Linked DNA regions of Macaca fascicularis. The protein of the gene in region 1 purifies or fractionates together with the protein of each later gene. This does not show direct contact. Links are inferred from orthologs where the notes say so. Each region holds a gene or a part of one and is shown on either strand. Other genes may lie near its edges. The genes, in order: VASP and PFN1.

Region 1 (3,803 bases):
TCTGGGGATATCAGCTCCTGAACTCTGCACCAGTTTACTGACACCTCCCGCCCAGGCTGAGTCAGATGTTGCCTTTTCCAGGAAGTCCTGCCCGACTGTCCAGCTGGGGCAGGCGTTCCTTCAGGGCACCACCAGACCCTGGGCTCTTTGGTCCTATCCCTGGGTTGGTACCGTCTGGGGACAGCTGTGTCTCCCACACTGGACTGTGAGCCCCAGGAGGGTGGTGCCGGGGCTGTCTGGGTCACTGCTGTGTCTTCATCCCCAGCCCCACCCAACAAGGGCCAGACACGGAGCAGGGAGTATCTGGGGAATGGCCGCTAGTGCCCTGGGGAGCCAGGCGATGGGTGGGCAGCGGGAAGTCCCTTTGGAGGAAGAGCTCAGAGGTCTGGGATGGATCCCCAACCTACTGCAGGCCCCACACTTCCCCTTCCAAGTCTCAGCTTCTTCCTGAGCAGGCAGTGGTGGCGTGGGGGCATGTCCAAGCCTGCTGGTAGAGATAGGGAAACTGAGGCCAGGCAGGGGCTGGTCCCTAGTGCAACTCTGGGCTCTTGGCCTCCTTCTGGCCCCTCTGTCTTCCCTCCTGCCCTCGCTCTGCTAACCTGCATCCCTCCCCGCCGGCGTTGGCCTCAGCCTCTTACACCTCTCAGCCTGTCTCTCCATCTTTATCTTTTTTTTTTTTTTTGAGACAATCTCACTTGTCGCCCAGGCTGGAGTGCAGTGGCATGATCTTGGCTCACTGCAAGCTCCACCTCCCAGGTTCACGCCATTCTCCTGCCTCAGCCTCCTGAGTAGCTGAGACTATAGGCGCCCACCACCACGCCAGCTAATTTTTTGTATTTTTATAGAGATGGGGTTTCACCTTGTTAGCCAGGATGGTCTCGATCTCCTGACCTCGTGATCCGCCCGCCTCGGCCTCCCAAAGTGCTGGAATTACAAGCCTGAGCCACCGTGCCCAGCCTCCATCTTTATCTTTTCCTTCTTGTTAGTTTTGTTGTGTTGTGTTTTTTATTTTTCATTAAAAATTTTTTTTTGTAGTCTGGGTATGGTGGTTCACCCCTATAATCCTAGCACTTTGGGGGGCTGAGGCAAATGGACCACTTGAGCCCAGGAGTTCGAGATCAGCCTGGCCAACACGGTGAAACCCTGTCTCTACTAAAAATACAAAAAATTAGCTGGGCTTGGTGGTGCGTGCCTGTGATCCCAGCTACTCACGTGGCTGAGGCAGGAGAATGGCTTGAACCTGGGAGGCAGAGGTTTTGGTGAGCCGAGATCATGCCACTGCATTGCAGCCCGGGTGACAGAGTGAGACTGTCTAAAAAAAAAAAATTAGTTGGGTGTGGTGGTGCATGCTTATAGTCCCAACTACTTGGGAGGCTGAAGTGGGAGGATCAATTGAGCTCAGGAGATCGAGGCCACATTCCAGCCTGGGTGACAGAGCAAGACTGTGTCTCAAAAACAAAACTGAAACTAAAAGTAATTATTATTAGAGATTATCATGAGGATTTTGTGCGTTCCAGTGTGCCCGTGCACACCTATGCATAAAATGCACGATTGGCCTAGCGTGGTGGCTCATGCCTGTAATCTCGGCACTTTGGGAGGCCGAGGCAGGTGGATTACCTGAGGTCAGGAGTTCAAGACCAGCCTGCCCAACATGGTGAAATGGCGTCTCTACTAAAATACAAAAATTAGCTGGGCAGCTGGGCTGGTCTGAAATGCTTGGGCTTAAGTGATCCTCCTGCCTCAGCCTCCAAAGTGCTGGGATTACAGGTGTGAGACACCATGCCAAGACCATCTTGATCTCTTTCTATGTCTTTCTGCCTTTTCCTCCAGGTCCGCTGTCTGCCCATCCTTTTTCCCCTCCCCTCCCCTATCTGTTCATCTGTCTGTCTGTCTGCCTTTCAGTCTGTCTCTCTCCCGTTTGTCAACCCAGCTCTCCCTTTCCCACCTCTCTCTGCATCTGTCTCTTCCACTTCCAGTTTCTCCCTCCCTGTGTCTGTCTGTCTTACGTCTCGTTTGTGTGTTTGTCCGTCTCTCCTGGTCTGATTTTCTCTCCTGATCTCTCTCCCCGCTCTCTTTCTGTCCACCTGGCTCCTGCCTCCCTCACTCTCTTCCTTCCACACTCTGTCTTTGTCCCTTGGAATCTCCCAGGGAGACCCAGATGAGAAGGTGACCGGCCCCTCTCCCTTTTCCTCCCGCCTGCAGCGAGACGGTCATCTGTTCCAGCCGGGCCACTGTGATGCTTTATGATGACGGCAACAAGCGATGGCTCCCTGCTGGCACAGGTCCCCAGGCCTTCAGCCGCGTCCAGATCTACCACAACCCCACGGCCAATTCCTTTCGCGTCGTGGGCCGGAAGATGCAGCCCGACCAGCAGGTACAGCTTCCCGCAGGCCCCTCTTTGCGGGCTCAGCCCCTACCTGCCCCACCCCTGCGCCTGCCACCCCTCACCCTCCCTTTCCCCTCCCACCAGGTGGTCATCAACTGTTCCATCGTCCGGGGCGTCAAGTATAATCAGGCCACCCCCAACTTCCATCAGTGGCGCGACGCCCGCCAGGTCTGGGGCCTCAACTTCGGCAGCAAGGAGGATGCAGCCCAGTTTGCTGCCGGCATGGCCAGTGCCCTAGAGGCGTTGGAAGGTCAGAAACAGCGGTGGGCAGTGGGTGGGCAAAGGGGACCACTGAATGCGGCTGTGTGGCCTCAGGCTGCCGGTTTACCACTCTGGGACTTTGCTTACTCATTGGTAAAATGGAGCAAATTCATTGCTATCATGGAAAATTATCATGAGGATTTTGTGCGTTCCAGTGTGCCCGTGCACACCTATGCATAAAATGCACGATTGGCCTAGTGTGGTGGCTCATGCCTGTAATCTCGGCACTTTGGGAGGCCGAGGCAGGTGGATTACCTGAGGTCAGGAGTTCAAGACCAGCCTGCCCAACATGGTGAAATTGCGTCTCTACTAAAATACAAATTAGCTGGGCGTGGTGGCAGGCACCTGAAATCCCGGCTACTTGGGAGGCTGAGGCACGAGAAGCACTTGAACCCAGGAGGTGGAGGTTGCAGTGAGCCGAGATCGTGCCACTGTGCACTTCAGCCTGGCGACAGAGCAAGACTCCTTCTCAAAAAGAAAACAAACACACAAAAAATGCATAATTACTCAGGGATCAGTACTCCATGAACTTTACACAGGCACACTCCTGGCAAACCACCTCCCAGATCAAGACATAGGTAGGTACCGCCCCAGAAACGGGATCTTGCTCTGTTGCCCAGGCTGGTGTGCACTGGCACAATCATGGCTCTCTGCAGCCTCCACCTCCTGGGCTCAAGTGAGCCTCTTGCCTCAACCTCCTAAGTAGCTGGGAATACAGGTGTGCATCACCATACCTGGCTCTTTTTTTGAGACAGAGTCTTGCTCTGTCACCCAAGCTGGAGTGCAGTGGTGTAACCTCAGCTCACTGCAATCTCCACCTCCTGGGTTTGAGTGATTCTTCTGGGGGACAAGAGTGAGACTTCATCCCAGAAAAAAAAAAGAGCCTCCTGAGTAGCTGGGGTTACAGGCATGCGCCACCATGCCCAGCTATTTTTTTGTATTTTGTTTTTATTTTTATTTTTTTATTTTTTTGAGACAGAGTCTCGCTCTGTCGCCCAGGCTGGAGTGCAGTGGCGTGATCTCGCCTCACTGCAACCGCCGCCTCCCGGGTTCAAACGATTCACCTGCCCTAGCCTCCCGAATAGCTGGGACTACAGGCGTGAGCCACCACACCCGGGTAATTTTTTGTGTCCTTAGTAGAGACAGGGTTTCACCA
Region 2 (4,155 bases), on another chromosome or scaffold:
ACACCCAAGCTCAAATCACACAGCACCTTGTTAGAATCTTTTTTATTCAGAAAAAAAAAAAAAAAACCCAAAAAACAAAAAAGTTTTCCAACCACACACAGGAGGGGTATGGGTAGGGGGAGTTGTCTGTCCATCCAGCCCTGGTCCCCAGCCCATGTGGTTTTGGCAGCAATAAGGGGTATGGGGTAATGGCCTAAAAAATAAAATGGTGTATGTGTGTATGGGGGAGGAAAGGGGTGCAAAGCTGTGGGGAGCGGTGAAGGGGAAGGGACAGACGAGGTCAGTACTGGGAGCGCCGAAGGTGGGAGGCCATTTCATAACATTTCTTGTTGATCAAACCACCGTGGACACCTTCTTTGCCCATCAGCAGGACTAGCGCTGGAGGAGGAAAGAGAAAGGAGGCTAGGACCCAGGTGTCACAATTCCACCCCCTGCCAGCTGTTCAGCAGCTGTCCAGCCCTGGGGGCTGTAACCCAACCTCATCTCTCCCAACCCCCCCCAACACACACACACAGGCAGGCTGTCAGTCACCCTGAAACAATAAGGCTTTTCAAAAGAGGAAAATCAAGCTTAAATGCTGGAGAGGAACAGACTAAAAACTTAGGGGTCAAAGGCTCATAGACTGTTGACTCGTGTTCAGGCTAGAAAGGGCTGTGGATGAGCATGCCACCTCCAGGTTCTAACAAAAGAGCTCAAACGATTAACTAGATGATGATTCAGGACCCCAAGAATCTACCTATACTCCTAGAAAACAGTTTCTAATCCGAGCTCAAGGCAGGAAGTAACTTAAGAGGTAATGCAGTTCAACAACTTCGAATTACAAGATGAGGAACTGAGACGGAAATGGAGGGACTATCCCATGTTCCATCCAGCATCCAGCAGACAAGGGGCAGAATACTGGTCTGACTGCCTTCATGCTGGGGAATCACACAAGAAAGCACCCTCAAGATTACCAGAAGGCGGTACATGAGAGATCTTGACGCTAGAGGAATGGTAAGACTCAGGAACTCACTCTTGTCAGTCTTGGTGACAGTGACATTGAAGGTGGGGGCCCCACCGGTGCTCTTGGTACGAAGATCCATGCTAAACTCCCCATCCTGCAGCAGTGAGTCCCGGATCACCGAACATTTCTGGCCCCCAAGTGTCAGCCCATTGACGTAAAAACTTGACCGGTCTTTGCCAACCAGGACACCCACCTCAGCTGGCTGGAAGAGGAACCAAGCGCCCATCAAGTTAGTCAGTGCACCAAGATTCCCACCTTGTTCTCCAAAGACCCACCCCGCGAAGTTATATACTCAGTACCCATCAATAAACTGTGAGAAACTCTGAGGACTGTGGAACGTTAGTGCAGAAAACGATCATGATTCTCAAACCTAGAATATGGGACTAGGGAGGAAGAGATGATATACTCCTCTAGAGATTTAGATCTCAGTGTTAATGGGGGAAAGTAAACCCAGGAAATAAAGGGAATCAGTGATAAAAGTGAGGAGTCTTTGGATGCTCAGAACTCTCCTTCAGGAAAAGCAGAAGCGGAGAGGGGAAGGGAGGGGGGCGGGCGAGGCAAGAGAAGCAACTTTGCCCTTATTTGGTCAAAGGTTCTGCAGGAGCTCTTAGGGCCCGGACGCCTGGGTCTCCAAGTAACCTAGTTTAGCTCCAGGTATGTCTGCCCTGACAAGAGGAAGCAGACCCCTGGGGGCTTTCCGGGAAAGTTGGAAAACTTCTGAAGGTGGACGGGGGCTAGACCCGGCAAGTCAGCTCTCGGGTCTAGGTACCCCAGGAACCTTTTCCCCCCTCCCCCTTTCACCCCAAGCCCCCACATCCGGTTCCCTCCCGCCCGGAAACCCCCTTCCCCCCCTTTCGAACTTCCGCTCCCCCTCCCCACTTCCGGGCAGTGTGGACAGGGAGATGGTGGTGGGAGCAGCGGTAGTCAACTCATATTCTTTCGCTTATGCTGTCTCAGAACTTCTCACAAAGTTCCCCTGCTCCAGGCCCCGCCGGATGGCGGGAAGGGAGGGCGAGGGGACTTCCGGGATTGGCCTCGCAGGAATGTTGAGTCCAACGTGCTGAGCTGGGGGGGCGTGTGGTGGCCTCGCCCTCTCTAACGGAGTTGGGAGGGGCCGGGAGTCCACAGAGGGTGGGCAAGGGACCAATACCACGCGCCTGGGGCTCCCTCCCGCACCAGGGGAAACAATGGTAGAGGGGCGCGAGCTGGCGGCCGGACGGGGAGCTGGGGATTCGAGGGTCCCCGGGTCACCTCTCAATCCCAATCCCCAATTAAAATTGAGGCGCGTCCCCACCCCGCCCTGGGAGAGGCGGAAGTGGGCCGCCGCACCGGGCGCCGCGCCCCTCCCCGCCCTGTGCCCCGGATGTAACGCCCCGTCGCGGAAAGCGGGGTAGCGGGCGGGATGGGCGCCGCCGCCTGGGGCATACGACTTAGGAGCAACCGAGGGACCCGCTCACGTGCAGCCGCCATTCGCGCCGCTTCCAGGACAAGCACCCAGTCAGGGCCTCTCGCTGCGCGCTCTAGACCGCGCCCGCCCCCACCCAAGTCCCTCCCACAGGGTCCAAGCCCGACCAGTGCCCCGGACCGCAGGCCTCGCAGTACCGTGATGTTGACGAAGGTTTTCCCGGGGACGGCGGCCCAGACGGAGGGCGAGTCCTTGTAACCCACGATGGCCGCGTCCTGACAGGTCCCGTCCGCCATGAGGTTGTCGATGTAGGCGTTCCACCCGGCCATGGCGCTGCTACTGGGGCTGCTCTCGGCGCTGCTGCTGGGGCCGCGGGCTGGGCACGAGCTGCCTCGGCTGGCGGGCGGGGGGAGGCGGAGAGCTCGAGACACGCGCTGCCGTCCGGACCGCGGCTCTGCTCGCTGTGCAGCAGCCCTCGCACCGCCACTTCCTGCTCCTCCCCCCCGCCCCGCTAGATTTTTATTTGCAAAGGACGGTAGGGGCGGGGCCTACTCCCCATTCCCTCCCTCCCCCACTCGCCAGCCCAGACACCGAAGTTTGCAAATGCAATTTTAAAAATCCCTCCCCCTATTGCAAAATTTGCAGAGTTCGATGGAAAGCAATGTAGAAAGATGGGGGGTGGCGGCAGAGAGGTGAAGGGTAGGGTTTGCTCCAATTTGCATTGAATATAAACCAGACTTTGCTATCGGGGCAGGGAGTGAGCCAGAAGGAAGGAAGGGAAGAGAAAGGAGGAAGAATTAGCAAGCCGCAAATTTAGCAAATTAAGGAGAGTTCGGGGAGTCCAGGGTTAAACGGGATGACTCCTCCTTCCCCCACCTCCGCCGAAGGGAAGGACCGGCGGGCGGCGGCGCGTGTGCCCGCGCCTGCGCCTGCGCCAAGGCCGGGAGGGAGAGCGCATGGGGCGGTCCGGGCCGGAGCCGGCTGCACGGGAGCGCGCCCGACCCGACCCCTGTGGACCCTCCGGGAAAGGAAGGCGGGCTGGGGACGTGTCTCCCGCCTGGCGGAAAGGGCGGGGGCGAAGCCGTGCACGCTGCCGCCTCACCACCCTTGATTTTACTTATTCAATAGGAAAGCAAAGGGAGTTTGGCCAAATACCCTAGTCGCTCTCATAGCTGAAGGCACCCACCGGGGCCACTTCGGTCCCCAGCGTCTTCCCGGGTAGTGCAGGTTAGGTTCACCAGGGCCCATTCTCAGTCCAGAGGATTGTCCCTTCTCTGGATCGGCTCTAGCCCAGGGCCTTATCCCATATCCCAGCCGCGCCCGCCCCGGGCAGGCAATGTCTGGATCACCGGCCGTGCCCCTTGGCCTGAGTCTGCAGAGGTCACTGAGCGCGGACACCCGCGGGGCTTAACAGGCGGGGCTATTTTTCGAGGCGGAAGAATACTCAAGTTGCAAGAGTGGCAACTTTTTCAAGAAGGGGAAAGTCCCACTTCGGGCCCTTTGGGTTTCTTCTCAGTCAGATGTGCGCTCGCCGCCACCTGGGGAGGGCGGGGCGGCCGGGTGGCGGCCGAGGTGAAGCCGTCTTCTCCGACCCGCCGCCGAGGGCTGGGCCGCTTCCGGAGCCTGGGTTAGGGGCGCGAGGTCACGGAGCGCGGCCCGGGCGGAAAGGGGCTTGGTTTTCTCTCTCCTCCTCCCGAGTGCGGCGCGCATCCCTGGCGTCCACGCCGAACCCCACAGTCCCCGACGC

The links.
Region 2: the proteins of VASP (region 1) and PFN1 purify together in Homo sapiens (affinity purification with western blotting; 3 studies listed by BioGRID and IntAct, with this or other methods). This does not show direct contact. The link is inferred for Macaca fascicularis from reciprocal best matches to the Homo sapiens genes VASP and PFN1.

Annotation. Positions count from the first base shown.
Region 1 is NC_088393.1:53,578,431-53,582,233, forward strand, and holds part of VASP (vasodilator-stimulated phosphoprotein), read left to right. Parts: intron 1-2,202; coding exon 2,203-2,374; intron 2,375-2,470; coding exon 2,471-2,636; intron 2,637-3,803. UniProt on the Homo sapiens protein: Ena/VASP proteins are actin-associated proteins involved in a range of processes dependent on cytoskeleton remodeling and cell polarity such as axon guidance, lamellipodial and filopodial dynamics, platelet activation and cell migration.
Region 2 is NC_088390.1:5,064,278-5,068,432, forward strand, and holds PFN1 (profilin-1), read right to left. Parts: upstream 2,901-4,155; 5' UTR 2,738-2,900; coding exon 2,606-2,737; intron 1,206-2,605; coding exon 804-1,205; 3' UTR 789-803; downstream 1-788. UniProt on the Homo sapiens protein: Binds to actin and affects the structure of the cytoskeleton. At high concentrations, profilin prevents the polymerization of actin, whereas it enhances it at low concentrations. By binding to PIP2, it inhibits the formation of IP3 and DG.